2 linked regions of the Caenorhabditis elegans genome follow. The protein of the gene in region 1 interacts with the protein of each later gene in a pairwise test. Each region holds a gene or a part of one and is shown on either strand. Other genes may lie near its edges.

The links.
Region 2: the proteins of nasp-1 (region 1) and tra-4 interact in a two-hybrid assay, tested with the Caenorhabditis elegans proteins (2 studies listed by BioGRID).

Annotation. Positions count from the first base shown.
Region 1 is NC_003280.10:11,097,852-11,112,639, forward strand, and holds nasp-1 (Protein NASP homolog 1), read left to right. Parts: upstream 1-8,760; 5' UTR 8,761-8,784; coding exon 8,785-8,897; intron 8,898-8,948; coding exon 8,949-9,315; intron 9,316-9,364; coding exon 9,365-9,940; intron 9,941-9,998; coding exon 9,999-10,091; 3' UTR 10,092-10,219; downstream 10,220-14,788. Other genes in the region: nuo-1 (NADH dehydrogenase [ubiquinone] flavoprotein 1, mitochondrial), read left to right, coding at 1-42, 91-251, 320-964, 1,087-1,250, 1,307-1,628, 2,040-2,138; C09H10.4 (uncharacterized protein), read left to right, coding at 2,374-2,376, 2,423-2,611; C09H10.5 (uncharacterized protein), read right to left, coding at 3,121-3,319, 3,664-3,842, 5,018-5,109, 5,900-5,906; C09H10.9 (YqaJ domain-containing protein), read left to right, coding at 6,667-6,756, 6,814-7,065, 7,120-7,334, 7,380-7,516, 7,566-7,675, 7,720-7,858, 7,907-8,034, 8,079-8,111; apc-1 (Anaphase-promoting complex subunit 1), read left to right, coding at 10,373-10,426, 10,480-10,809, 10,854-11,283, 11,569-11,715; glb-4 (GLOBIN domain-containing protein), read right to left, coding at 11,762-11,966, 12,021-12,171, 12,452-12,537, 12,584-12,748, 12,799-12,906, 12,954-13,166, 13,212-13,318. UniProt on the Caenorhabditis elegans protein: Promotes normal hermaphrodite (XX) development, in concert with zinc finger protein tra-4 and histone deacetylase hda-1, perhaps as components of a complex. May act redundantly with nasp-2.
Region 2 is NC_003284.9:2,846,503-2,863,408, forward strand, and holds tra-4 (Zinc finger protein tra-4), read right to left. Parts: upstream 10,744-16,906; 5' UTR 10,736-10,743; coding exon 10,670-10,735; intron 10,619-10,669; coding exon 10,554-10,618; intron 9,773-10,553; coding exon 9,573-9,772; intron 9,520-9,572; coding exon 8,973-9,519; intron 8,921-8,972; coding exon 8,662-8,920; intron 8,252-8,661; coding exon 7,931-8,251; intron 7,666-7,930; coding exon 7,539-7,665; intron 7,487-7,538; coding exon 7,440-7,486; 3' UTR 7,177-7,439; downstream 1-7,176. Other genes in the region: Serine/threonine-protein kinase kin-29, read right to left, coding at 1-372, 1,100-1,230, 1,281-1,417, 1,465-1,549, 2,679-2,923, 2,983-3,141, 3,192-3,281, 3,341-3,502 and 4 more; comt-1 (Catechol-O-MethylTransferase family), read right to left, coding at 11,664-11,720, 12,031-12,129, 12,181-12,506, 12,798-12,921, 12,965-13,080, 13,157-13,238, 13,296-13,527, 14,637-14,940 and 3 more. UniProt on the Caenorhabditis elegans protein: Probable transcription factor. Promotes normal hermaphrodite (XX) development, in concert with histone deacetylase hda-1 and nasp-1, perhaps as components of a complex.

The sequences.
Region 1 (14,788 bases):
CGGCAGCAGTCTCTCTTGGGGCTAGGCTAATTGGACAGAACGGTAGGAGCTTAAATTTCAATTTCAATTGTTTTAAGACTATTCTTTCAGTGCCGAAGGTGGCTGTGCGCGGAGTCGTGACATCAGCCCAGAATGCGAACGCTCAAGTGAAACAAGAGAAGACATCGTTCGGAAATTTGAAGGACAGTGATCGTATCTTCACCAATTTGTATGGTCGCCATGATTATCGATTGAAAGGAGCCATGGCTCGTGTGAGTATTTATTTGCCTATTTTCAAATAATCTATTCGACAATTTAAACGAATTTTATAATTTTTCAGGGAGACTGGCACAAGACGAAGGAAATCATTCTAAAAGGATCTGATTGGATTCTCGGAGAACTCAAAACTTCTGGTCTCCGTGGAAGAGGAGGAGCCGGTTTCCCATCCGGAATGAAGTGGGGATTCATGAACAAACCATTCGATGGACGTCCGAAATATCTCGTTGTTAACGCTGATGAAGGAGAGCCAGGAACTTGTAAAGATCGTGAAATTATGCGTCACGACCCACATAAGCTCATCGAAGGATGCTTGATCGGAGGAGTTGCAATGGGAGCTCGTGCCGCCTATATTTACATCCGTGGAGAGTTCTACAATGAAGCTTGTATTCTTCAAGAGGCCATCAACGAGGCCTACAAGGCCGGATATCTCGGAAAAGACTGCCTCGGAACTGGATACAACTTTGACGTCTTCGTTCATCGTGGAGCTGGAGCCTACATTTGCGGTGAAGAGACTGCTCTTATTGAATCGCTCGAAGGAAAGCAAGGAAAACCACGTCTGAAGCCTCCATTCCCAGCTGACATTGGACTTTTCGGTTGTCCAACAACTGTGACCAATGTTGAAACTGTAGCTGTGGCTCCAACAATTTGTCGTCGTGGTGGTGACTGGTTCGCTTCGTTTGGACGTGAGAGAAATCGCGGAACCAAGGTTAATAAATGTTGAATAATGATTCAAAAGTGGAGCATTCAACGTCAATTTTTAAATTCGATTCTTCACTTCTTTCTTTTAAAATTTCAATTTTTGATTTAAAAAAAAAACCGAAATTTCAGCTTTTCTGCATCTCCGGTCAAGTCAACAATCCATGCACGGTCGAAGAAGAGATGTCCGTTCCATTGAAAGATCTTATCGAGCGTCATTGTGGTGGAGTCATCGGTGGATGGGATAACCTTCTTGCCATCATTCCAGGAGGATCTTCTGTCCCACTTATGCCAAAGTAGGGGTTTTTTTTTTACTTTAAAAAAATTGTTAAAATTCTAATAAATCTTTTAGGAACGTTTGCGACACAGTTCTCATGGATTTCGATGCCCTGGTTGCTGCTCAATCTGGTCTTGGAACCGCCGCGGTTATTGTGATGAACAAGCAAACTGATATCGTTAAATGCATCGCCCGATTGTCACTTTTCTATAAACACGAATCTTGCGGACAGTGTACTCCATGCCGTGAGGGATGCAATTGGTTGAACAAGATGATGTGGCGTTTCGTTGATGGAAAAGCCAAGCCATCGGAGATCGATATGATGTGGGAACTTAGTAAACAGATCGAGGGACACACTATTTGTGCTCTTGGAGACGCTGCTGCATGGCCAGTTCAGGTAAAACTATTAGTTTATTAAAAAAAAGGAAATTTTGAACAATTATTTAGAAATAAAATTTTTAAGCTTGACGTGCAAAATATCTCGTAGCGAAAACTACAGTAATTCTTTGAATGACTACTGTAGCGCTTGTGTCGATTTACGGGTTCGATTTTTTGAAATTAAATTATTTTCGAATAGCAAGAGCTATATTTCATTTGCATTATTTTCTCATTTTCAGCTTAATTTTAATATTTTATCGATTAATCAATTATTCCATTGAAGCCCGTATATCGACACAAGCGCTACAGTAGCCATTTTAAGAATTACTGTAGTTTTCGCTACGAGATATGTTGCGCAATACTTATCCTCAGAATTTTATGTTCCCGTAGTATAATCATTTAAAAAAATTCAAATTCCATTTCTTTGCAGGGACTCATTCGCCACTTCCGACCAGAACTCGAACGCCGAATGGCCGAGTTCCACAAGCAAGTTTTGGCCGAGCAGGGAGCCAAGCAGATCAGTCAATGAAGGCCGTTTTAGTGTTTGTAGCGCTGACTTTTTAATACCTATTACTTTTTTTTTCATTGTATTTTTCATTTTTCGGCTCGATTTCGTCTCCTCCCCATTTTTTTAGATGTTCTATAGTAAAAGAATGAATGAAACGAATAAAATTTATATATGGTTGGTTGCCTAGTTGTGTTGCTAGGAGCTGCTCGGAAGCCGGCTCGCATTTTCAACTTGACTCCAGCTTCAGCTTCACGTTATGGTTGGTTTCTTTATTTTAAATTCAATAGTTATATTATTATTTCCAGATTCCATTCACCTCTGCTCTCTTCGCACTTCGTTGTCATGTCATTGACCTTCTGCCAACTGGACTGATGTTTCTTGGGATCTCATATGCTCTTGTCATCCGTGCAATGTTCACATCAGTCGTAGACAACTCTTCGGATAATTCCACCTTGTCCGTAGAAGATCTGACCTACAATCTGTTCAATATTTAAATTTTTCAACCTCGCTGAATGAATGAGGTTTTATTGTTTGACATGAATGAAAATTGAACAGAATTATAGAATAACACAGAGGAGGGCGAGAGGTATTTTTGGGCGAAACAAATAGAAACGAAGAACCCGCGTAGGTCTCAGGGGGGAGCCGACGATAGTTGATTCGAGGGAAGAGGGGAGAGGGAGAAAATACACGAATGGAAATGGAATTCTACAGGTAATATATGAAGGTTCACATTATATTGAAAGGGCACTGGGTGTTATCTAGATGCAAAATTTTACGATTTTTGCGCCAAAAATACGGTAAGAGGTCTCGAAAAGACAAATTTCGATAATTTTTCAGTTTTTACCTCACTAGTCAATCTGTTAAAATTTGAGTGTTTCTAAAAAAAATTCCGAGACCTGGAACCATATTTTTTTAGCCAAAAATTCGAAATAATTCTCATCTGGATAAATTAAAAGCAATAGCTGAAACTAGACGAGACTACACACTAATGGAATCTATTCTGTTAGAGGTGAAGACTGGTCCACTCTTTTCTCGTCATCTGATCGTACATGTAGTTGTCGAATTTCGTGTGATCTTCTACGACGACGTGAGCATCGCGAACGTTATTGTCATCCTTCAGTGAACAATTTGAGGCAAAGTTATGCCCGAGGTGATGGTATAATGAAGATCGACGATCCTCGAAGGCGCTCGTTGGGTCCAATCTGAAAAGAAACTCGTTAAAAAATATATTAATTTGTCTTCAAATATTATACGGACGCGAGAATTTGCGGCAGGTCTTCTTGACACGACAAGTTTTCTGATAAATTCGAGAAAGTGTGTGCCTTTAAAGACTGCTGTTTTATCGATTTGTCATAGTTTTTCTTGAATAAAAATACTCTTTAAAGGCACACACACCTTTTCGCATTTAACAAATTTGTCGTGGCGAGACCAGGTATCATGTAATAAAATAAAGCGAGATTTTCAAAGCTTTGATTTTCCGGAGAAAACATCAATTTTTAAATTGTTTTTTTTTTCGCATCCATGTAATATTGCCGTAATTACTAACAAATCCTTGACTCCTTCGAGAAATTCGACCTCTTCCCACAGAATATAGCTGGTATAATACTCTGTTATAGGCATATCCTTGACGGTGATGCACAACAAATTCATGAACATCGAGAATTGTTCTTGTGACGCCTTCGACATGTCCATTTTGACGAGATGCCGTTTCTCGAGCACGCGTCTCTGCAAAAAAAACGTTGGATTAATTTGGTGAGAGCACCCAGAAGCTGAGAGTGCATGACGGCTGGATATGCAATGTGCTGCTGCTCTAAACGCCTCATTTTTGCTAGTTTTTTTGTGCGAAACTTGCCATTTTTCTTCCTTCTTTTCAGTCGTTCATCGCAAAAATTGTCAGTATTTCAGACTTTTCTGTTCAGAAAAAAAGTCAAGATGCGAAAATTCGACACTTTTAGGGTCGCAGATGGGTCTCACCGCGATCCAAAAGTTTTTGGTAGTATTTTTATGGTACTTTTGGAGTCCGATCCGTTTTTTTTGCATTTTGAAAGGATTTTTGAGCAAATTTCTGTTTTTCTGTGATTTTCAGATTTTTAATTAATATTTTTGAAAAGGAAAATTACAAATAACAGTTTTTCAGTAGCGAGATCACAGCCAGGGAAGTCGTTTAAAAAAAATGTGTTGCTCTAGTTGGTATGATGAAAAAAAAATTGTTTCTTTTTTTTTTGGTTTTGGAGATATTCAGTTTTTTGTTTTTAGTCCAAATAATTTTTTTTGGCAGATATTTTAAAAATGTGGTTTTAAATTTTTTTAAATGGTTTTTTAAAAGTTAAAACTAAACCAAAATCGACATTATTATTTCGGTTTTTTTATCTCAATTTTTAATTTTTAGTTTTTTGATCCAAAAAATTTCGAGATCCATTCGAATAACCATAAGTTTGTTTCTCAGAAAATTTGAATTTTTCTACATAGTTTTGTGTTTTTCTCCGTATTATTTCTCACATACACCCCTTTTTTTCAATTTCCAGACCACAAAATAATTGGAATTTTTTTTGAGAAAAAGGAGAGCAGGGGAGCACACGAGAGACATATATCTCTAATTGTTATTGTCGTAGTCGTCTCGATTTTCAGCGCCGCAGACAGACGAGTAGGCGACGACGAAAACAAGGCAAAAATGGAGGCAAAAAGGATATATCCGCCCAGAGAACTGGAGTGAATCATGTATTTTTTGTGTTATTTTGTGAAAAATTATTTCTTTTGTGACTAGAGGGCAATTTTCAAAAAAAAAATGAAACGAAACTTCTAAAAAAGCCATAAATTTAAAACCAAACAATGACGATTAGGGGATATCCCTGGATAGTTTCCGGGCTCTAATCCAGGCGAGCACACAATTCATTGCTAACCTTTGCTTCTTCGGCTGGATTGGCTATCGCTGAGAACATGCAAGTTAGCAGGATAAAAGTGGTGGCCGGTAATCGCATAACTCCAGCATCGACTGAAAATTTGAAATTTGCAATTTTTCATGAAAAATTATAATTATTTTTGTTGGTAAGCAAAGAAAAGAGAATGAATTTTTATGAATTAATGAAAACAATTTTTTAAAAAGCCACAGGATTTTTAAATGAATGAATAATAACCGATTACAGAGGAACTGAAAAAAAACTGAAAATGAGTGTCTGTCTGAGCTTCTGACACTGCTTCTTCCCTCTCTATGCCTCCCCCGGCAGCAAAACAACTTGAAAAACAACAGCTGATTTGGCATTGGAGCGTCTATGCAACCGTATCGAGTCTCTGCGTCTCTCACTCTCGCTACGAATGTTCCAAAAAGGCCGCCGTGAAGAAAAATGAGAGAGAGAAGGTTCGTGTTGAGAGACGGAAGAGAGGGCAGAGAGAGTGGTTTCAATGGAAATTTATGATTTTGTTGGAGAATTTTCTTTAGTGAATAGTAAAATATCACGAAAAAATCTAAAGATACTTGGAAAATCTGAAAGCAATTTCTATTACAGAGTCGCGAAATTTTTAATTTTTGCGCCCGGCCTCGACACGGCAATTTTCGTCAGATACAAACAAGTGTGCGCCTTTAAAGAGTACTGTAACTTCAATTGTTGTGGAATTTTCATCGATTTTTCGTTAAAAATATTAAAACTTAAATAAAAAATAATGAAAATTCGATGAAAATTCCGCAACATGTGAAGCTACTCTTTAAAGGCGCACACCTGTTCATATTTAACAAAAAACATTTCGTGTCGAGACCGGGCGTCGTGTTTTTAAAAATTAGCACTCACCACGCATTTTTTGCATCAATTTCAGAATATTTGAGATTTCCAAAAGCTACAGTGAAATATGAATACAACAAATATTACACAAAAAGAGATCTGAATGGGGTGAGAGCAACGAGAAAGACTGTCAAATCTCCAATTAGGGGCTGAAAACGAAAACAAAATTCTGAGTCGGGGCGGGCAGACGTGATATTATGTTGTTGAATTCTATAGGGAAGGAATCTACGTTACTAGGTCTCGAAGCGACCGGAAATTTTATAGAAAAGCTACGAAAAAGGGGTTGCGCCTTTAAAAAGTATTCCATTCAAGTCTCACTTTTTTGTTTCAGAAAATTATTCGATCTGCGAATTGTGGAAGGATATTCGTAGCAACTACAGTACTCCTTAAAGGCGCACACGCTTCATGCCTGCTCTACAATAAACATTTTCTATCGTGTCGAGACCGGCTACCGTATTCTTTTGTAGGAATTGAAACAATTTCGCATCTTGGCATCTGCAAAGGACTGGAAAAAATGTTTTAAAAACCAAAAATTTGCAGAAAATAGGTCATTATTTAATTACGTCAAAACGCGTTGTTCTGAAACTGAAAAAAATTAATCTGGAAAATTAAAAAGCTGACGTGACCTTAGATTTGAAAAGAAAATGATATGCATAAAACGTGGGACCTGTGGAAAACACGATGACGAACGAACCTTTGAAATCAAAGAAAAAACACATTATTTCGAGTTAGTCTAACAATTTCCTGTACGATTTTACAATTTTCCCGACGAGCAAATGCCTCGGAAGCGTTCTAGATCCGAAAACTACGAGGATCACATTGCGATTCATCATACGCTTCAACCAGTGACGTTCATTGAGGAAGAGGTAATTTGAAATTCTATGAGACTTTTTTTTTTTAAATCTCAATCTCATAATTTTCAGTTAATTCTGGTGTGGCGATTCCCAGTGGACATATCCCAATCTTCTATCGGTGGACGGACAACTTTATCAAATGCCTGTACCCTCATTGCTCTGAAAATTGCCGAGCTCGTCCATATTCATGACATCAAAATGCCAATACCGTATCCAACTCGAAATGATCGTGTGGCGGCCGGTGCTGAGAGGACGCAGCGGAAACATTATATTCGTAGCTCTGCAGATGAGACGGTTGTGGATAACAATGGTTTTGAAACTGTAAGACTTTTTAGATTAAGCTTAATTATTGGATTATAAATTTCTTAATTTCAGACTTGCCCACCGCGACTTATTGGTTGTCTGATTAATGGGATTGTGGATGGAAATGACACTTATTCAAAGCACGCTGGTGACGAATCTACGAGAAATTACAACTTGCCAGATGCAATCAAAGCATGTGATCTTAGTTTTTCGGAAGTTGATTTCAAACTAACTACTGGATCAATCAAAGAATCTCTACCAAAACTAATCAAGATGGCTGTTCGGCAGTAGGTTCAAAATTTCAAATTCTATAAATTTCCGGCATTTTTCAGTCCATTATTTCAATCGGAAAGTCGCCTTGTCTTCATCATGATGAGCTGTGTTCGAACAGTTTCGATTATTTTCGATAGAAATCAGGACACGCTAACTCTATTCGACGCACACCAGCATTACTGGCCAGATAATAAAAGTAATATTTTATAGTTAAGCTTAATAGACCAATTAAATATAATTTTCAGAAACTTATAAGCACGGCGCTCTCATTGGTACTTGTAGCTACAGTAACTTGCACTCATTTGCAAAATGGATAGAAAATTTTGTGTATCCGGATGTCGCCGACCATGTTAATGTGAGGATCTACATTTTTTTTCACCTGTCATTACAAAATTTCAGGCATTTGAAATTTCGCTGATAAGAATTACGGAAGCCGGCACTAACAAAGCTCAAGGTGTATGTAAATATCCGGATAATAAATTCACAACGATCCGAACGCCAGTTTTCCAGGCTATGAATTTGCAGGAGGACAAAGAAAGTAAGTTTGATAGTGATTAAACGAAATTCAACAAAAACTAGATTGCAGATCTGAAATTGTCGGACCATCCAGTTCTCCTCGGCATTCTCTCCAAACCCCCAATCGTAAAATGTGGAGTAAAACGACGACACGACTCAGAAAATGGGGAAAACGAATTTACAATAAAATTAAAGAAGGTATTGAAACACAGCAGTTAAACATAATTTTAATTTCTTTTCAGAAATCGCCTAAAACGACTTCTGAGCGGACTTAATTACAACTTGGAAGATTCTCAACAATGTGCCATCGAGTTTTATGTGATATACAGTTTTTCTCTAGTATTTAGAATAAAAGTTTTTAATAAATTCATTTTGTTAAAGAACTAGAAGGAAAATAGGCAAAAGAAAATGCAAAAACAAAAAAGAAAAAATAAAGAAAACTCCAATTGCTCGTCATATGTGATGCGTTACAGTAATATCTGTGCGGCACGCAGACGCAACATTGCACAGCGCGGGAAAATTTGTTGTTGACAATTTAAGTTTATACTCCCAAAAAATTGTTTTTTCTCTTTTCAAATGAAAGTTTTGCTGAAGTATTGTGTTTATTTTTGTTTAATTAAAAGTTTTTAAGCGGCGGCAGTGTTAATAAGTGATTCAAGCTGGAATTATCAACTGAAATCAACCAAAAAATCGGCCTGTCGGTCTGTTCTAGCGGTAGAATTCTAAAAACATCATGAATACAGTTTATATGTTTGTTTAAAAACATTTATTGATAAACCTTTTCGAAACGTACTAATTCCCGCCGTATGGCCGGTTTTTAGTGGACTAGGCAACGCTCGGTTTCTAGGCTCTCCCGCGCTATTATACTCATTTGAATTTATCCGCTTTTTATTGAATTTTGAATATATATCGAATAGTATTTATTTTCAGATATTAACAAATCAGAAAATGGACACTGAAAACATCGCCGACGCCTCTGATATTCGTGTGAAGGATGCTTCAGGAGATTCAGATGAAAAAGGAAACGGGACTACTACAGAAGAAGAGACTGTCGAGCAGAAGTAAACTTTTGCTGCAGAATATCATCAATAAAATCACTTTTCGTATTCCAGAGAGAAGCGTCTCGCCGAGTTGCTTGCAGCTGGACGCCGTGCGTTGAAAGTTAACGATATCGACAAAGCATCGGATTCGTTGAGTGAGGCTACTGAACTGAGCTCCGAAATTTATGGAGAAAACCATGAAAACACGTTCGATTCTCTTTACTATTATGGCATGGCCACACTGGAATTGGCGAAGGAGGAGAGCCAACTTCTGAAAGGTCCAGGTGAGAAGGAAAGCGGAGATGAGGAGCAAGCTGGAAATTCTGATGACAAGACTGACGAAGAGAATGGAGAAACGGAGAAGGAGGACGGAGAGGAATCCGGTGAAGAAGAGGACGATGATGATGATACCATGAAATTATCATGGGAAATTCTTGAGGTTTCTTATTTTATTCAATGATTTTATGCTTAATTGTGATTATTTTCAGACAGCTCGTTGTATTGCCGCTGCCAAAATCGAAGCTCTAGAAGCTGAGCAGAGTGGAATCAGTGCCATTGAGGAATGGAACCTGAAACTCGCTGATGTACTGGTTCTCCTCGGCGAGCACGGAATATCAGATGGAAAGTATACTCAGGCTTTTGAGGACTTGGATCGTGCCCTCAACATTCAGCGCAATGTTCTTCCACCGTCGTCGAGAAAAATCGCCCAAACCTACATTCTCATCGGAAACGCGTGTGCTAGCGATGCGAATTACGATGAAACCGTTCAGTACTTCGGCAAAACCAAGGACGTACTCATCGCCAGGCAGACTGAGTTGAAGCATGAGCTGGAAAGAGGTGTTGATGATAAGGAAAAGAAGTCTGAATTTGAGAATGAGCTGAAGGAGCTTGAAGAGATGATGCCAGGCGTTGAAGAAATGATTGCTGATGCTGTGCACTCTGCAGCACAAGTTGAGGAAACTAAGAAGGCCATTAAAGCGCAATTCGAAGGATTCACACAAGTATTGGCAAAACTTCCACAAGAAGCCGGTGATCAGAAGGAAGCAAATGATATTTCTAGCTTGGTACGGTTTGAATTAACTTCCCGTAGACTTTTTAAATATTCAATTAACAAATTTCCAGGTTCGTCGTCCAGCAAAACGAGCAGTGGATGCTCCAACTGACAATCAAGCAGTGAAGAAAGAAAAGGAGGAGGAAGGAACAACTTCGATCTGAATATTGATAACCTGTAATTCTAAATATTTCATCATGATCTGACCTACTGAACTACTGATAATGTATCAATTAACATTTTATCTGTTATCCGAATTTAAGGATTCTAAAGTAAAACTTGTTCTGTATATATATATTCGCCATATATTCGTTTTTATAATTTGTTTCAAATCTTTTTCATACTTCCAAAATAATTTTACTATTTAAAACAGGATTTTCAGCTTCATTCAAATTCGAATTATACTTGTATGAGTGAAGAATTTGATGATTGCCATTGGAAAAATATGATCTCTGCTAATAAACAGTTTGATATTCAGCTGGGAGATGAAATTGGAAAGGTAATTTTTTTTAGATAATTAACAATTTAAAAAAAGTAAACTTAAATTTTCAGGATTTCTTCACCCAGGATACAGTGGTCTGCGCGTTTCGAAACAAGGAGAAGACCACGGATTTTGTCTTCACATCGGGTCCAATTATTCTCATTTGTGATGGAACGACGCGACGGAAGATGATTAAACGACGGTTCAAAATGGAGTTTGATATCAAAAAAGTGTTCTTCCACTCGTTCATTGTGACTCGAAACGCTGAAAAGTTGGCAACTGAGAATTGTGGTGGACCTGATACGAAGCATCGGGATTATTTGGTTGTGTGCGGTGAGCATAAGCTCCAGTTCATATCGCTTCCCGACTATCATTTCTATCACTATGAAATTCCTTTTAAGGTGAGAATTTAGTTTGAAATTCTGATAATTTCAAATATTTCCAGCTTCGCAACGTGTTCTCCTGCTCGACAAGTCTTCTGGTCGAACGGTTCTACGATTCATCCAGCGAACAAACCTTCCACCATCACGACACATTTCACCTCTACTCGCTATCCGGTCCATTCGGCGAGCTTCTCCCGGTTATCTACAAGACAAGCGGCTACCATCCACAATGGAAATTCTGTTGGCAATCGCATCGAGACGAGGCTGGACTCGTTGACGCTCAGCAAAATTACGTTGTTGTCTATGATCAGAAGGAGAAGACGCATCGGATTTATATGGCACGAGAGACACAAGAACAGGAAGTTCACGCAGCGATTCGATACGTTGAAGCACTCAGAAGACCGTCTGATTCAACAATGTTCGCGTCGAGTTTGGCGCCGAATTCTGCCGGCAGAACTACGCATTTTGATCCGACACTCAACTCTCCCGCCGGTAATTTTTGAAAACTTGAGCTTTTGGATAAATATATTATTCGTATTGTATCAGACATTCAAATCGTCAATATTTAGTTAATTTACAGTGATTTAAGTTAAAAACCAAAAAAACCTCGTTTCGAACAGGAAATAATTCGATTTTCCCCAAAAACTACTAAAAAAATCAAATGTTAAATTAGAAAGAGTTGTGATTAAAAACTAAAAAATAAATATTTTCAATTATGATATAGTGTGGAAGTCCGAGTTAATTTATATTCAACAAAAAATCATAATTATTTTCCAGAAAATGTGCTCTCCGAAGTGATCAGCTCGGAAATTGATAGCCGCTCACCGTTCACTCCTCATCTGCGATCCGGTTTTGGACATTCTACTCCAAACAACCCGAACGCTCCAGGCTACCCTGCAACACTTCCAACACCGAATTTTGAAGGTAATTTTTTTTTTTAATTCATAAAAATTTATTAGCACCATTAACCTCAAGTCGTGGGCGATCGTGCACGATGATGATGATCAAAATTTAAAAGTGTTATGCTTCGCCGTTGCTGATGCGCTCGTCCTGGCACTCGATTCTGTTTGACTTGATCTTCGAGGGGGCTCAATTGAGACGTCAACTTGAGCAGTTGAATGTCGCAATTATTTAGAAGAATTGACGGGTTGTTGGGAGAAGACATACGGCGGTTTCTGAAAATACGTGAAGTGAGAATTATAGCTGATGTCCGTCAAATTGTTACATACCGTAGTGCTGTGAAGTCTTGGCTATTCCTTTGAAGAGCTCCACCCGCGCGGAACATACTTCTTCGTCGATATGGAGTAATTGGAGATGATGGCTGAGTTGTTGTAGTCGTCGAGTTGCTCTCTGTTGAGCCAAGAAGAGCACACATTGGAGCTAGATTTGAGTAAATTAGAATATGAATTTAGCCAACAGAAACCAACAACAAAAAAACTATAAAACGAAAAGCACACGGCACACAGCAAACCTAGAAGTTAGTGTATTTATTGTTATATATATATATATATATACGTGGTGAGAAGGAAAGTGTAGAAGCGAACAAAATCAACTGAAGAATATCGAGAAAACTATCTAAGTGATCTACGAGGTGGTGGTGGGCGGTGTTTAGATGATGGTGAGCTACGACACGAATGTGAATGATGAACTTGAGACGCACCGATTGCCGGCGACATGTTCGGTTCGAGAAAATGGGAGGCGGATCGGGAACGTGATGAACGCATCGATGCCATTGAGATTATCGAGCTGGAATGTTTAGATTTTTTTGTGGAAGATATGGAAGAGCACTTACTTTGTAATGCTTAACCGAAGAGGTGTCTTTTCACTTGCACATCCCTCATATCCTCGTTTCATTGATTCGATTAACATGCAGGAAAACTGTCTCCAAGACTCACAAACTTCTTCTTCTTCACTTTTCTCCGCTGCCCTAGACCTTATTCTCAATATTCGCCGAATTCTGAAAACCAGTTGATTTCCCACCCGTGATGTAAATTGTCAAAAAGTTACTTGCTATCCTCTGTGACAACCCGCATGTACATTTTGCTCATGGCGATCGGAAGTTGTTGGGCAAACGGAGCCCAAAAGCAGTTGTCATTTCCCTCATTCATATAATGTCTATAAACATTTTTGTGAGTGTTGTCCCACCCACGCATATGACTAACCGATGGCGTGCTCCGAGACGGAAGGAAAGCGTCTTGATCATTTCTGGATCACATTTGTGAACTTTGATGAGTATGTTGAGAAAGTCACGAACTTGATTGATGATGTTGAGAAATTGAGCATTTTCCTTATAGGTAGCGTGCATAGTCTCTGGTAGATCAACAAGAGCCCATACCCATGTGGGTGTTAACTCGGCGGATTTGAGCCAAGCCTCACTGAAAACAATTGCTTTTCAGGAACAGTCTGAAAAAAGAGCTCACCTAATGGCATCACTCAGAAGCTGTGGATCGTGCGAGTTTATTGTATTCCACGTATGTACTACATGTTTTCGATGTGTAGATAGTTGACGAGCAGACTGATTGCCCATTTTGTTGCATAGTCCGGAAGATCTCTGATACACTGAAAATGAGCTTCATCATTAAGTATCTCATCTATCCTAACTGAGCCAATCGTAAAAGAACAGAATGAATCAAAGAATGGATTTTCTCTTTTCTATCTGTTTATAGCAACGGAAGCTTCAAAGAGAGTAGAAAGAGCACACAGTTGTTTAGCATGCTCTTTTCGCGAAGGTGAATAATGAATAATTATGGGTATTCGAATATGTTATGATGAGCTCACGAGGACGTAACATTATTCAAAGAAATAGCTGAAGAAGTTGTTTTTCAGACATTCTCGTCGAAGATGCAATTTTCACAGAAAAAAATTGAGAAAGGAAGTGCGTCGATCTTCTCAAAGATGATTATATAAAGAGAAGAAGGTCACTCATGTGATAGGAGGTTCAAAACAATGAAAATGCAGAGCCGATTTCTTTTTAAAATCGAGTAAAACTTGGAGCGGCCGCCCGACTTAACTAATAGCGTCCGGAATATGATAAATGGGGCGGCGTCTTGGTGCTTCAGCATTGCAAGATGAGACCAGCAGCAGATGTAAAAACAAAATACGTCCTCGACTAAATAAGAAAAATGATTGACAACGACGTCCGATGTGTTCTGGCAGCTATAAGGAAGAAAAAAGACGTGGGAGGGGAAGGAGGAGTCGAATTGCACACGATATTCTGAATTTCGTTCTGAAATTCGTCTCGAATGTGAACAAAAGTTCTACGATGAGAAAATCAAATTAGATTCGGGGGTGTCACCGCGACTGAACTCTGATTGACGAGAGAGCCTATTGACTAGAGAAGGAGATCTGTGAATGTGAAATTTGAAATCGAAACAATTTGATTATCTTCTCTTCTACGTCAAAAAGGCGTCCGATAGGCGTGAGAAGCACTCATGAAAATTGGAGAGGGAGACCCCCTTTTTCAAAAAAACTGAATTAGACTTTTGAATGAAACGGATATCAGATGAAGCTTTGAAACTTTTCGTGGACTAACTCTATAGAGATCTACAACGAGATTATTAGAGCAACAAGGCCTGATCTTGAAAACGGAGCTCTAAAGGAGCTCCAAACTAGATCAACCTAGCTGCTGCTGCTGCAAGAAATAGAGTCACACTTCCGGGCTGGAAATAGCAAAACTGGAAGAGTCGAGCAATTTGTTGTGTGGCGCCTCATATTCCACGTAAGGCCTGTTGAACATTGCCGCCGCCGAGTGTGCACACCGACAAAAGAGACTTTGTGTTGCTGCACATGTGAAATTGTAGATATGTATAGCCCTGAGGGCGTAAATCACATTTGCATTCGGTGCTCTTTTCGTTGTCGTCGCATCGCCAAAAGAATCTCTCTTTTAGAAGAACAAGGCGTGTACAGGAAAGACACAGAGATTAGTGTGAGCCATTGAAAGAAAAAAAGAGTTTGCTTCTGTTTTCATCCTCCTCTAGGCTCAGTCGCTGACCAGTAA
Region 2 (16,906 bases), on another chromosome or scaffold:
TTTCGTTTTCCACCATATTTCGACAGATAAGACTTTCCTTCTTCTTCCACTGTCGGAAATGAGATTGGAGGAGCTGGCAAGTTTGCGAGATGTTGTGTCAAATCGAAGTTAGTTGGCAGAAGAGTTTCACCGGCGGAAGCTCGGCGTTCACTCTTTGGAACTGGTAGCATTTTTGATAAGTCTGCAATTGGGATGGTGGCAAATGCCGGGTGCAACGATGGAAGTGGGAATTCGGCAGCTTGTCCTTCTGGCATTGGTGGAAAGCCTAGCGGTGGATTCATTGAGAAGTTGTTTAGTAACAGGTTTGGTGGTGGAAACTGTCCCATCATGTTTGGCGAAAGAAGCTGCTCACTTGCACACAAGGTGTGGCGTCTGAAAAAAGTAAACAGGATGTAATAATCCGAGGTGATAATTGCAAATCCATTTCATTAGCAATAATGGAAAAAGTCTAAATTACCATAGCATTTTTTTTTAATTTTTCACAAAGTGAGCTGATTTGAGATTTTTTGAACCGTTAGACTGTCACAGCTTTAAATTGGTATGCAGTTTTAAAGGCTCAGTTTTTTTTTTTGCTTGAATAGACTGAAATTTTCTTAAAAATTACCGAATTTCATTAAATGAGTTTTCACAATATACCATATTATCAAAAACAAACTATTTTATCAAAGTTAATTTGGCTCGCCACAAAAATTTTTAAGAATTTTATAAAAGGTTCCATTAGAGGTCGTCTTTTAGTCTATTAAAGCAAAACCTGACAAACTTTAAATTTAAAAAAAAACGAATGTGAATACTGGTGGACGGAAAATGCCAATCAGTAGTTCTACAAAATAACCCTATTGAGCATATTTTCTTAATAATTCTCATTAAAATATACAATTTAGAAAAATATTCGCTTAGTGAAAGCAATCGAAAAACTGCTCGAAAATTGTCTGAAAGTTGAAAATTGACCGAAACACTTTTTGATATATTTTTTTTTAGGAAAAATATCCAGATAACATGCTCCACTGGCTATTTTTTTGGAAATTTTATTGTCTATTGCAAGACACTGCTGTTACTGGTATTTTCAGCACCAGTTTTTTATAGAAACTTATTCACATACCTATTTTCAAATCTATTTCCAATAATATCTAGCCCGTGCGGTGTTCCAAACTGTCTCTCGTGATTCATAGGTCCCATCGAGCTCATCGGAGAATCATCGCACAAATCAGAATTTGAAGAATCATCCGAGTCCTGAAATTACATTCGGCAATATAGAAAAAAAGACTAGTTAAATATCGTACACAATCTGGGCTTGAAAGGTTAAGTTGGGCAAGTTGATGGGCAGATATTGTTGGCGTCAGTGGTTGCTCGTCAACGTTAGCTTTTCCACTAAGAATTGAACCTCTTGATCCACGTCGCGGAAACTCTTCTCCAGTTCCTAAATAAAGAAAATTTGTTTTAATTAAATTTTTTGATTATTCAGACCTTCTAATGTTCCTTTTTTAACTTTATCGGCCAACAGTTCGTAGGTCGCAAAAATTGGGCTTTCAAAGTCTCGTCCAAGAACAGCCTAAAAATTTAATAATTTATGCATTTTTTTCAGTAATATTTTATATGGTAACTCAACTTGTTTCCTTTCCTTACTGTATAAAATAATATTATAAATTTTCTGTTCAATTCCAAATCACAATTTCATTTTTACAAATATGTATGTGATAACGAATTCATCGTCTGGTTGGTAGATGCAAATAAACGTGTTTTGGTATTTTGTGTATTGATGCCTATCATTTAGAAAATTCTTGAAGTAGTTCCAGTGGGGGAATGGCTAAATATAATGGTTGAAAAATTCAATAAAAATTTCCAAATTTTATATAATGTTTCGAAACATGGAAAAATAATAGGTTTTGCCTAATTCAATGTGAACCTCCCTCCAAAATTATTTGCTCGATAGAGCGCAATTGCACATTTTTTTATTTATTTCATGTTTTCAGTTTATTCTTACTTGAAATTTGAAGAAACAGTAAGGATAAATGCAAATTTTTCATTGGAAAAAACAACAGTAAAGCAGATTTTCAATCGAAAATTTGCATTTGTCTTGACTTTTAATCAAAATTCAATGTGAAATTACACTGAAAACACGTGTTATCAGGCTGTCCCATTACGGTTTGATCTACAAAAAAATGCAGGAATTTTTTGCCCAAAAAATGTGACGTCAGCACGCTTTTAACGATGCGAAATCAGTTAAATCTTCTGCGTTTTAACTCCCGCATTTTTGCAGATTTACGTAGATCATACCATAATGAGACACTCTGGCATCACGTGTGACAGCATAAAAAATCAGTGGGAAATAAGAAAACACCGAGAAAAATTAAAAAGTGCGAGCGCGCTCTCTCGTGCAAATTATTTTGACGGGAGGATTAAATTGAATTAGGCAAAAACTATGATTTTTCGGTTTTCAAAAATCATTTAAATTCTAGAAAATATTATTTAATTTATTATCTAGGATATTTTGTTGTTGTGATACGTGTTTTAAAGCCATTTTTCACTGGCGCTCATTATGCACTGTGTTGCCATTCTTTTGAAAAGTTATTCAACCGAAACGTTTTCATTAAAAGACGGTGTGCTTTTGGCAAATGAGAGACAAGCTTTCCACAAGCTATGAAATCTGCCAAAACGCTTAACACCTAGTTAGAACCCACATCAATAATTTGTTCTTCACTCCATTTCCCATGCTGCTGCATGAACATCATAATTGTAGGATTCAACTTTGTGGACTGCTGTCGAATTTCTATAGAACTTGATGGGATTGCTTCCAGGAGTTGCGCCGCTTGATTTTTTTGCACATCATCTCGGATGTGCATCCATCTGTGTTGAAGAACGTTTTGGATTGTGTATCTTTTGCCAGGGTTCAACACGAGCATTTTTCGTATAAAGTCCGCGCACTCTGGAAAAAAGAAGATGAAGACGTCATTCTATGCGGAAACATTCTAGAGAGCCGCTCACCAACAGAAACCCAATACGGAATCTTAACCAGGCCAGAGAGAACGGATCTCTTGAGTTTGTTCACTGAATCACTCGGGAAAGGAAATCCGCCGGCAACGAGAATGTATAGCAACACCCCCATGGACCAGATATCAGCTTTCATGCCGTCGTACGAGTTACCTGCAACGTTGGCTTGGAATAAGAGAAAAAATGGCAAAGTTCTCACAAACCTAATAACAATTCTGGTGCGGCGTAGGGTGGTGATCCGCACCATGTGTTCAAAAGTTGATCGCCGGTTTGAAAATTTGAAAACCCAAAATCTGAAAAAATATAAGAATTCAGCATTCCTTTTCGTGGGTTTCAAACTATAATCTCTTACCAATAATTTTAATGTTCGAATTTTTGCCTAGTAGAATGTTTTCAGCTTTTAAATCTCGATGAACAATTCCTTGCGAATGAAGATATGCAACAGCGGACGCAGTTTCAGAAAACCATTTCCGAGCAACATTTTCCGCTACCCGACCCTTTTCTATCAGTGTCTCTGGAAAAACAACTTTGCCGAATTTTTCCATACACATCATAATTATACCATATAACTCTCCACTGCTACAGTATTCGCTTACAATGTACAACATGTTGTCAACCCTCATTATCTGAAAATAAAGCTATAACATGAGGGATTTGACAATATGAACTCACCTCATAACTTTTAACAATATGCGGGTGATCGATCACTTTTACAATTTTCACTTCTCGTTCCAATTTTATCAGATTTTCTCGGTCTAACGCTGACACATCGATACTCTTGATTGCCACCTGCAATTTGTATGTTTTGCTGCATTATTAAGAGTGAGCATTCCAGAAATGTACATGGAATGAGTATTTGAATTTTACAGTGCACATAGGAAATTCAACAAAAAAAGCCAGTGTGGCATGCTCTCTAAATATTGTTTCATTAAACTTTGTGATAAAATATAGAAATTTTTTTAAGCTGAAAATAGCTATTAATTAATTTGAAGCTACCGAAAAAGTGCTCAAAAATTGTCTCATAGTTAAAAATTTCCGGAAAAAAATTCTAAAATTGTTCAAAACGATTGATTATGTTGGGCCAGGTATTCTGCACAAGTACCTAATTTTTTTGAATTTATATACTCACTCAATAAAAAACTTTAAGATTAATAAAGCGGCACTGGATAAAAAAAAATTTATATCAGAATGAAGTTTCTTGAAGTCTAATGCAAATTGACAACTTTTCAAAAAATGGGATTTTTTCACAAGCTTAGTGTTTTTTATGAACTTTCAAGCATATCTTTGACTGTAACTGTAAAGTTTCAAAACCTTTCTTTTAACTTTTACAATGATATCTAAACGATTCATGACTTTTTGAACCTGAAAAATAAAACCGGACAAACCTTAGTCTTAGCAATCTTGTGCCGCGCTATCCGAACTGTGGCAAAATTGCCTTTGCCAATTGCCCGACCAACATCATACAGGCCTATCTGAAACGAATTGTTTTGTACATAATAATGATGGTACTGTTTCAGTTGTTTTCCTTCTTTTCGCCTTCTGTACAAAACACTTTCCACTATTCACTATATTAGCAATATTTGTTCTTGTGAATGAGAATCGTTCAACCAGGCGGACGCACGTTTTGCTCTTAACCCCCATATGCGGAGCGCGTGCAGACTGACGAACAAAAAACCAAATCCAATTATAATCGACAACAATACATTTTGACTCATTCTCTCCCATCATTATGAACATCACCACCGCAATTTGAAGGGTTGCTAGTCAGGCAAAATATCTATTCGAATACAAGTTTGTCAAACTTTGATCATGCAAACAGTCCTACTATCACTTCGAATTAAATCAATTGGCTACGTGAAATGATTGTGTAATATGCTGTTTTACCACATTTTCCATCAATGAAAGTTCAATAACATCGGTTTAAGTTGTGTTTTGGCAGAATCGAAATTGCAACACTCTTCGTCAAGGAAATTTTGAATTTTTAAGAAAATAAACTTTTTACGTTTTACGGTTTATCTGCACTTTGTTTCCATAGTAATTCGAATGCAATGGAGAATCTTAAATTTAGAAAATGTGGGAAAGATTTTTTATGCAACTGCATAATCGCATCGGAAACCAACTAACATGAAAGGAAGTAATGATTTTTTTTCCAAAAAAAAAACTACGCAGGTTTTTTTATGGAACATTGTTTTAAAGGTGGAGTAGCGCCAGTGGAGAATTTGTTAAAAACCTTTTTTTATCGACAACTTCCAAAAAGTGGCGAAAACTGGGATTTTTTCCAATTTTCAAAAAATCATAAAATTCAACTTTTTTAAAAATGTTTTTAACTGTTATTTGATTACTGTGGTGTGGTGAGATAGCAATTTTTTAAATTCACAACTGACGCTACTCCACTTTTAATCTATTTTATTTTTTTAACTTCTTGCTAAAAACGTTGCATGACGTAAAGCGGTCAAAAATGCTGTGCAAAAATTTGTCGGACGAAAAAAAAAGAAAAACTCTCAAGCATCCATCTTTATGTTCTGCCGTTAAACTCTCGGCGCTCGTTGATTTATTGCCGACTGTCGAACGGATGCGTGGGAATTTGCTTGGGCATTAAACGATAAAATCAGAAAAAGACTGTTCTATGGCGGGAAACAAAAACGACAAAACGCACCTTCTCACGGTAGATTGCGCAATGTTTTTACATACATATTTTATGTAAATTGTGTGACCTTAAATGAATGGGGAGAAAAAATAAAGTGCAATCGCACGCCGAACAAGTCAATTAACTAGGCACCATTCAATTAAGTGTGGGTGTTTTGTGTGTGTGGGGAAGGGAAATTGAGAACAAAGAATGGAACAGAGAGAAGAACACCCACCTTTTCAAGGCCCATACGCCGCCGTGGCGCAGCCATTGCAGTGTTGGTGTGGCGGCGCCTGAATGCGACAAGATAGTGTCGTAAGTTAAAACAGAGAGTGCATAGAGTTTTACCACCAGACGCACATATACATACATACACGCTCTCACTCACCCACTCACTCACTAACGCTCATTGCCGCCGCCTCCGCCGCCGCCTCGGCGTCTCTTCTTCTCTCACGCTCGCCTTCCAATACACTCAATAACGCTCACCGCCATGGCGCGCTCGCACACAATTCCTATTCGCTTTCTTTCCCGCACTGTGTTTCTCGATTTTCCGCGCCGCTTTTTTCCCATCTTCTCCCACCATCCTCTCTCTCACTCTCACACTTTGGACTAAGGCAGCGGGGGGCCCGCACACACGCACACACACACAAACAGACACACATACACAGGAAAAACGCACCCGTCCAGCGACCACTGTCTCTTTTTCTCAATGTCTCGGATTTGCGTCTCTCTCTTTCTCCACGCGTGCCCGGGTCCCGTTAAGAACTCTCGTCGCTTCTTGCTGATCTCTCACACTGACTCATACAATGCCTTGAGGAGCTCAACCGGGCGGCGGAGATCGCACTGCTTGAGCAAGTTCAAGAAAATAAACTTTTAAACCACCAACAAATTAATTCACGTAGTTTTTATAATGATAAAAATCATTCAGCATTTGTATATGAGCATTGTAATAAATTTCAAATTATAGTCACTTGACTTATATGTGTATATGTTATAAAAAAGTTGATTGATAGTTAGGACTCTAAAATAAAAAATGCCAATGGAACTATAACTTTTCCAATTAAAAATACTTGAAATTAAAAACATTGAAGGATTCAAGTTTGATCCGTTCTTCAAGCACCACGTGGTGTTAGATTGTCCCATTTTGGTTTGCTTTATGTAGATCTACAAAAAATGCGGGAGGTGAGACGCAGAGTTCTCGTCAAATTTTTAAAGGCAAAAAATTCCCGCATTTTTTGTAGATCAAACCCTGATGGCACAGCCACACACCACGTGAAGCGCCATGCACCGCGCATCTGAAAGTCAAGTACACTGCCCGGTGGTACTCCCACTAGGCTTTATTTTAAGCCACGTCCAAGCCAGTGACTGTGGCCAATATTTTCCGTTAAGGTTGTGGGAACCTAAAGGGAGGCAGGACTTGTATTTCTCATGATTGCTACCGTCCTACCACCTGAGCATTTCCTGTAAGTTATCATGGTAACAAAAATGCAAAAAAAAAACAAAAAAGCGAAAGGTTCAGCAATTCAATGTGAACTATGTCATAAATTTCAAAATATCTACATATAGTAACCTGATTTATTTGTGTGTATATCATGAATAAAGTTGAATGATTGATAGCACGCTAGATTAAAACATTAAAACACGTCCATGGTCTGAAAAAAAGTAAGAGGTGTTACAGTAATAGTACAATCAACATTAAATGACAAAATTAAACCCTTTTTAACATAATCGGGAAGTGAAACAAAAACAAACAAAAAATTGAAAAAAAAATGTATCAAATGAAAGTGTGGTAGTTTTGATGAAGATCTGTGATGATGAAGAAGTTTCACTCGCCTTTGTAGAGTATCCACATCCGCGGAGTCTCCACGTATGCTGTAATTAAAATTCAATTTTAAAAATTCTGTCATTCGTTTTTCAGTGATACCTGTCGGCTCATCTGCTGCCAGGTAGCCTCCGTGCTCTTCATACACGTGATGTTTCATCTCGGGGTATTCCGCGTGACGTTCGTGACAAATCGCGCAAACATATCCATGCTCATCTCTCTTGTGTTCCTGGAATCAATATAATTAAAAGTTCATATAAGGGTATTCATGACAAAAGGGCAGGCACCAGGATATAATCTGATCTCATTGTGAGTCCTCGATTTCATCGCCGTAATAACATTGATTTTTCTTTTTTGTTTTTCTTCTTTTTTACATGTATGTTAATCCTATCTCAGAGCACCCCTTCAAAAAAAAACAAATGTCATTTTTACCATGTGATTTTTTATTATGACAAATGCTGACTTGAAGTTAATGTGTGAAAGAATAAGCTCACCTCCATAGCAGTGTATCGGTTTGCACGAAAGTCGCAAACTTTGCATTCAAACTTTATAATTCCCGTATGCATTCTCTCATGGGTCATCACTGCAACTTCACTAATGAATATCTCCTCGCAAAAATGACATTGGAACGTTTTTGTGAACACATGGGACATCTTCTTGTGCTTCCGAAGTTTACGCGGTGTAAGGAACTTCATGTTACAGAACGAACAGCGGAAACCAGAGTTCGCTCCACGATGGAACTTCTTTCGGTGATTTAGGAGACGATTGTCGGTGCAAAGATTTCTGATCGGAGTACATTCGAAGCAAACATAAGTCTGAAAATATTAATTATTTAAGAGCTTGTCTTTAGTTTGAACTGGAACAAAGATCCAGAATGTAGTATTCAATTATAAGTTTTAAAATAAAGAAATTTAAGTGTATTTGTTATTTGTTATAAATGAGGGTTTTAAACTAAAGTAGCGCCAGTGGGGAAATTGTTAGAAACCCCTGGCGCCAAAATGGCCAAATACAACACTTTTTTGATTTTTTTTTTCCCTAGTCCAACAGGAGCTATTACTGAGATTTTGCCACTTTTTGAGATAACTATAGCAATGTCGCATGATCAGAGTCCTACAAAGTTTGAATATTAATATTTGAAACAAAATTGAAATATTAAAAAAATAGAAGGAAATTTTTTTTTGATTGGCCAGGTAACATTTTTAGAGTTTTTTGTATTGTTTCTTACCAATTCACAGTCGTGATTCGCCATCTCTGCATCATTTTCAACACATTTAAAACATTTGAGACACTGCTGAAACTCGACCATCTCCTCGTGCTTCTTTGCAAAATGTTTCTTGAGGGAAAACTCATTTCTAAAACGTTTATCACAGAACGGACATTGCGGCGACACTTTTTTCTTGTACGGACGCTTTAGTTGCTTGATTCTTCCATAATAGTCAAAACGTGGGACCAGGCCGCCATTGTTTTCTCCGGGAAGGGGAATACTGAAAATGCATGACGAAATTTAGAAAATAAACGGAAAACTGCTGAACCTACTAGTTTGGATCCTCAGATGGTTGAGAAATCTCGTTTTCCGGCGGGATGAATCCTCCTGTTTGTAGCTCTTCAATGCGATTTGCTTCGATTTCTTCAAGCCGTTGCAGCTCCACTTCTTCTTCTTGTTCACGAATATATTCCTCGTAGAGATCTGGATGTTTGTCGCGCAGATGTCGTTCATAAATGTTCTTCTCGATAAATCGATTCTTGCACTTTTTGCATCGAACCATTTTCTGTCGAATCAGCTTGCGTACAATCCGAACATCCGTTGGAGCATTCGGTGGAGGAAGATCAATTCCATCCTGATGATCGGCTAGAGTTAGTGTCTGTTGAACTTCAGCAATACGGCAAGGAGGAAACTTCGAAGGGTCTCTGACCCGAAATCCCAACTCATCAAGAACAATTCGCTCTTTCTGGATGGGCTTGATTTCTCCTCGAATTTGCTTCATAAATTCTCCGACTCCACTGAGCTTTGCACGTTCTTTCTCTGGCTCTTCTTTCTCAACAGGAACCTTTGCTGACATTCCGAGTGCTTGAGCTAGAAGTTCTGAAAAAACACACGTTATTAGTAAAAACTTGTAGTTAGATGTTTCAAATTACCAAAACCGATTCCCTTTTTGATCTCTTCATCGTCGTCATCGTCCTCCTCGTCGTCATAGAGCTCGTCCTCATTAATTGTCGTTTTCTCTGTTTCAAGTAATGGAATCAAATCGGTCTTGTTATTCAAATCCATCTCATCGTCGTCGTAGGTGCCTTGCCAATTTGCTTGGTTGGTGTCGATAGTAAGCATCAGCATATTACTGAAAATTAAATTAATTAAATGATTTTTTCTGCATATTTTGAACGTATAGGCCCGATATGTGCTCAAACAAATGATTTTCGTAATGAAATCTTCACAATTATGGCGGTTCGAAATTTGGAAAAAATGGCCTAGCCGTACCTAAAACCTTAAATTTTGGTCACTTCCCGTATCTGATCGGTTGGAAGTTCACTTTTCTGAATTAACATCCCTTTGGACAATTTGGTCGTTTGGTACATTTAAAACTGTTAGGTGATCAATTTTTGTTATTTTTGGTCACCAATCGGCTTCAAAAGTACCCAAATTTACAAAATAAAGTACTATCAAAATATGCAATAAAATTTTATAATTCCAAAAAAGAAAATTTCCGACCTCTGCGACACAAAACAAGTTGACAAAATTAAGGATTTCAGCTAGTTTGGCTGTTTTTGAACCGACATAAAAATATTTTGAGAAATTTCATTACGAAATTCAAATATAGATTAACCAGCCGTGGACCGCACCTTCGGCGCGGCCCCCGACTTCTGGGGCTGAAAATTGATTTTTTATGAAACTACCGTCACCCTACAGTATTCCTACCGTACCACAATTGTACCACTACAGTACCCCGACTATATCCCTACACTAACCCTAACTCACTATCCCTACAGAAGCCAAAACTTCACAGACTACAAAGACCACATAGACTACAAACTATGGACACACAGAATAAGCGCTTTATATATAGTAAATGATTTTTTCGGATTTTACATATATTATAAAAAGAAACAAAAAAAACTTACTCCATTGTTGAGGATGAACCTTCTTCAATCGCCGGTTCTTGTTTCAAATTTTGTATCGTTGGCGCCTGAAATTGGGAAGAATTTTTGAGATTAGAAAAAAAATAACAGAAACTCACCTCTGTAGGTCTTGGTCGCGTTATGGAGTCCTCCTGTTTAATAGTGCATTGATTTGGGTCATCCATTGCCTGAACCGTGGGAAATAGTGGGTCGATAGTATGCGCGCGCGCGCACCAAAACACTGCACATTACAGGCGTACGCAGCGCGACCGCATCGCGTCTCTTCATTGAATTTCAGAGTTTCATCGATTAACTGGTTTTTGCAGGATTTTAAATAATTTTTTCAATTCATTTGATTGGAAAATAAAATAATTTAGGTTTGTGGAACTAAATCGAAATATGATATAAACATTTAGTTAAAAAATATATTAAAAAATACTATTTTCGAAAAAAACAAAAAAAGAATTACCGATAAAAATGTATTTGTAAATAGAAATATTGTAAAAATAATAACCTTGAAATATATATGAGACGCTCTCAAAAACGAAATGGAAGAGTTAATGCTATGGGTTTTCTAGTCCGCCTGTCCTCAAACAAAGAACGAAGGCTTCGCAGACAGATGTTTTAAAGATGAAGTAGCGGCATTGAAAAACGTGTTTAAAACTTCTCTATTAAAACCAAAATAGGCGAATAGTATTGTAAAACTTTTCAAAAAAGTTTAAATGTTTTATTTAAAATATATTTACTTATTTTTGCAACTCAAAATTTGGAAGCCGACAAAAAAAGTTTTTTCTACGCTTTTTAATACTTTAATTTTGTTTTCAATATTTCTGTTAAAACATTCTAGTGTTTGGAACACGCGATATTGCTCTGGATTTTCATAAAAGCTCTTTTTTTTTTTAAATTCTACTCTACCTCTAGCACACTGGGTTAACCGTTTAGAGTAACATTATGGAAATAAAAAAATATGAAGGTTTAAAAAATTTCATTGTCAAAATTATGAACACATATGAACCGGATTGATTGAGGACAAGAACACCACTTTACACGTGGCGATTGAGAAGTTTTAATGCAAATAAAAACATACAAAACAATGTTAATTCAAATTTTATATCAATTCTTTGTAACAATCCAGGTGCCGCCACCATATGGAAGTAGAGAAGCAGAAACCTGAAAAATGTAAAGTTTCTGATTTTTAATTAGTTATCTTAATATATTGGTTCAGGGTATTTTGAACGTATATACCAACAATGTGCTCAAACAAACGAATTTAGTTTTGAAACTTCACAAAAACTAGCGCTGCGACACTGAAAACTGCTCAAATTTTGAGAGAACAAGCCCAATTTTCTTTTAAATTTTGAATCCCCATAAAACATTTTGAAAATTTTTTCAGAAGTTTCATTTTGAAATTCGTTCAAAATACCCAAAACCGATACTCCCCCTTTCACTGTCTCAAAAATTTTTAAGTTAAATTTCTCACCCGGGGGTCTTGTTTGATGCGTATGTTCATGTTTCGAATGACCCTGTCATCGTTGGTCATGTGATCAATCGATGACATCACTCCACCACCATTGAGTGCCTAGAGAAAACAAAACGTAAAACTATTATTTCTAATTAAGAAATGAGGGACCTGGTTAATGATTAAAAGACCACCACTTCGAATCAGTCGAATTGCGTGTTCATAATCATCCAAATAGTTTTCCCTCTTAAAATCATCCAGAAACACAAAATCGAAAGTGTTGGGTTCATTTGTTGCAAGTCGAGGCAATGATTTTTCGATGCTTTCAGATGTTCTCATTTGAATTCTGGACATTTGCGTAGCCGTGAGTTTTCTTGCGTGCTTCTGCCCAATTTTATCCCAGAAAACAGCATAGGCCGGATGCTCAAGTGCGACAACAATTCCTCGAGAATCAACTCTTTCGGCGACACCGAGTAATCCAAGACCAGTGAATACTCCTGAACGTTTATTTTAACAATACAAATCAATTTTTCATTATAACAAGTACGTTAAAAAGAGCCACACCACGTGAAGTGACTCAAAGTTGAGCCTGGTCGAAAATCTTTTTTGGAAAGCACCGTGAAATGAAAAATCATGGCTTCATGGCACAACATTAACCTGCATAATATCAGAAAAATCGGTAAACAGCGAAAAACATTATGAATTTTGACTCGTGACTTGCTTAAGCCCCTCATAGAAAAATAAAATTTTGATCTATTCTCCAAGTAACATACATGAAATATACTCACCAATTACTAAACATCTTGAAGGTCTATAAAGTGACATTAAAGTTTGAACTAGTTGCACAATTTCCGGGGTCACTGAACTGTGCCAAGAAATGTGTTGTGGGAGTGATGAAGCGGTTTGGGTGTCCTGAAAAAATTGTAACGGATAAAAATTTTAAATTTTGCCTTACCCTGAGCAAATCTTGAATGGAGTTGTCGATCATTGTTGAGTGACTGTAGCAGTATTGGAATAAAGGATCAGAAGTCTCAAAACTTTTCAGTTTGATGGAGCATCTTTGATCGGGAACTGAAATTAAAATCATATACATACAACTGTAAATTATTTATGTACACATATTAGAGACAATGCAAGATGTACTTACCACATGTGTCATATTTATTGGTGTGGGGAGCAGAGGTGACCGCAATTTTTTCAACAATTGGAGGGCGTGTGAACTTTTTAGCCTGAAGACAAAATCAGAATTGTTTCTCTAATTCTATGAAAGAATGGTGATTTCATACTTTAATGATAAACGGAATTCCAGCCGTTGAGCTGTAAACAGTCTGATATTCACTTGGTGGAGTAGGGATCAACATTGTGATTGTGGATGGCTCAGATGGAAGCTCTGCAGTTACTGACATTGGGGTAGTCCAAAACACAGAAGTTGTATATTCAGGAGTCACAGAAGGTGTCACTTTCTTCCAAACATTGTTCCGGATAATAGATGATGGACGGATGAATTGTTCGGTTGAGCTGAAACATATTGGGTGAGTAATAAGTTTTGTCAATTTTTTTTGTTTTTTTTTAAACTTTTATAAAAAATAGGAAACTGTAAGTTATGTATATTTAGTCAATATCACATATATCCAAGCACTCAAAAATTAGAATTTCTGAAATTTTTGTTTTTTGATATTTTTTCAATTGGCGTTTGATTGATCTGTTAGTTATATAGTTTTATTTCAGATAAAATTGGGTTCTGCAAAAAATTAATTTTAGCTTGATTCTACCACTCAATCTGTACTTACCTGAAATTGGCAAAAAAGAGTATTTTTTCAATCGTTTAATTTTTGGTTCGTTTTTTATTCTTGTTTGCAAACCACATTAATTAGTGTTTATGCACGTTTGTATTTTGTTTCAGTCGAATTCGTTCAATAAAAAACAAATTTTCCGGCAAACCGACAAGCGGCACATTATAAAATTCCAGATAAACGGAGTTGATAATATTGTGCTGGAGAAAGAATTTTGGAAGTGCCGACAAATCTTATGTAAGTCGCACAAAATCACATGGTTGTTTCACGCCTACTAACGCACCTACCTCTTTCATGCCCACGTTTCTGCCTGCCTACCTGTGTGCCTACGTCATGCTTGTCCGCTTACGTGTCTAATCAACCTATCCACAATACCTAACCGAAACTTCTAGTCTGCCTACGTGCCTCCTTCGTGCTTTTCAGCATAGTCTGGTTCCAATAAAAATAAAAATAAACACTAATAAATTTGAAAACAAAATATGTCAGAAAAATCAAACAGTGGACAAAATCCACCTTTTTCGACAATTTAAGTTATGAACACAATTAGTTGCTTTAAATAGGTAATACCAGCCTAATTGTTTTGTGAAAAATAATTTTAACATACAACTTTATAGCATTCACAATCAAATTGGAATTTTTTTTTTTACAAAAAATTATAATTTTGAGTGTAAAGTATATTAGAACAGCTCGGATATGGATGCTCACAATTAAATGTACGTAGGTAACTTACAGTTTCCTATAACTACCATATAAAGGTGCAAAAAGTATAACTTTTCCATTAGTTACCTATTACCTATTGTTACCTAGTTACCTATCGTGAATAATGTACCCCACCTTATTACAGCCTGCGAGGTACTTGTCATTGGGCGGGTTGTGGTAGGCCAGATTTGATATTGAGGCTTTGTGAAAATTTTTTGTGCTTCTGTAGCTGGCAAGATAGTCTTCACTTGAGTTGTTGGTGGAGATGTTGTAGTTGGTTTCGTTGTCGTTGAAGGTTGAGCTGTCGTAGATTTTTCAGTTGTTGAGGTTGGAAAAGTTGAAGTTGTAGTTGTTGGAGTTGTAGAGGTGGTCATGGGAATGTTTGGTGAAAATGTAGCATATCTGACTCTTTCAGTCGTTGTTGTAAATCTTATGATGTCTGAAAGTTTTGAAATATTGGAGGGAGGAAAGTTTAGGAAAAATCCAATAACTTTATTTTGTTGTGCACACCTGATATTTCAATCTGAAATAAAATTCTGTCCGAAATTTCTGAAGTTTTTGCATATGAAAATTTAGTACTAAATCCTGTTGATCGTTAAAATTCAAAACGTAAAAACTGTTAAGAATTAATAGAGAGCCCCATAGATAGAACCCCAAAAAGTGTGTCGCTGCGTGCAAACTCAACAGGATTTAATACTAAATTTTTAGACTTATTCTAGAATAGTTTTGGAACTCATTCCCCCACACTCTAACAGTTTCTCACCGTCTTCTGTGGTAGTGTCTTCAGTGGTAGTTGTAGGTTTTGTTGTCTTCACGAATTTGATAATCTGCGGTTCGGTAGTGGTTGTATATCTAAATCGTGGTCTGGGATCATAGGTTGATGTAACTTCAGGGACTGGTGTGCTTGTAGTAAAATGTGGCGTAGTGTAAGGAAATGTGAAAACAGTGGGCATTGGTCTTGGAGTTGGCTTGCTTGTTGTCTCGGGCTTATCAACTGGTATTATTTTCGGGCGAAATCTTTTCGGCGTTTTTGGTAGTGGAGTTGATGTTGTTAGATTGAAAAGCTCTCTTAAATTCGTGGCTATTGTCAACTTATCCTCATTCCCAATTGCCGATGAAAGGTATTGACCGATGTTATTGAACAAGTCTTTTCCTGAACCTGAGAGATTAAAAAAACGTCAAAAAAAGTCAGTTAGAAGTACCAAATTCCAAAAATGAATACTGGGAGTCTGGCTCGTTGAAATCCAATTTTTCATGAAACGCAGTTTGTTTCAAGGTTTCAAACATTGATCCCAGATTAGCCTTAATTTCATTTATACAGTTTTGCAAAAATGGAAGAAAACATTGACTTACAAATGGTAGCCATATAAACCCGTCAGCAAATCCCACTGACGTTAGAATTAAAGCAAATGGAATAACAAGTCGCATTGTTATTAGCATCGACTGTTGAGTATGAGCCCTAATCTAGCAAACTGTCTAGGATGAGAAAAGAGCTTGTCAAAAAATGCTTCCCTTTTCTCGTTCGCGTCGTCTCATCGTGTCTTCCTCCGTTTTGACAGCTCTCGCCGTGACATGCGATGAAAAACGAAAAAGTGTTCGGTACGAGTGACCCGTGTCCACATGCGCTATCGAAAAGCAAACGGTTTCGGATCGAGTCGGATCTTTAAACTACGATTGGGGACTGCTGTGAGGACATGAAGTTTTGGGGGATCATGTTACAGCATCCTGTACTTTTTACTGTGTACATAACTGTTATTTTCGTAAAGATTTTTAATATAGACAATATTTTTGAACCGGTCAAGCGGTTCTCAGCGGAAAAAATCATTCATTGGAGAAACCTGTTCGGATGGGATGTTGATAAGAATTGGTTCCGTTCTAAATGAAAATTATCACAGCTTCTTATCAACATTTCCGCTTCATCAATTTTTTACAAACCAAAAGAACAAATATGTGCAATCATAAACAAATGAAAAACAATTGAATGTTTCTTTTTAATTACCATGATAATTTTTATTTGGAATTTTTTAAAATACTAGTCGAAAAGTGGGTTGCACCACTTTTTCACTTAAAACAAAAAAAAGCTTCCAAAATTTTATGAAAAATTTAAGAATTATTTATATTCAGTTGTTTTAGCATAATATGAGTAGTTTCCAATAATTTCCCCACAGGACGTAGACCGCCTTAAAATCAATTGCCAGGTGCCTAAAAAGTGCGTTTTTCTTAAAGATGGAGTAGTGTTAGTAGGGATTGGATTTAAGTACACCTACTATGGCGCTACTCCATTTTTGAGGAATTCAAAATAATTAAAACATTACAATAAAACGCTCCAAAAAATTTTAGATTATTTTAAATTTCCAGCCCAAGTTTTGGAAAAAAACTAAAATTTTGGAATGACATGAGCTTTT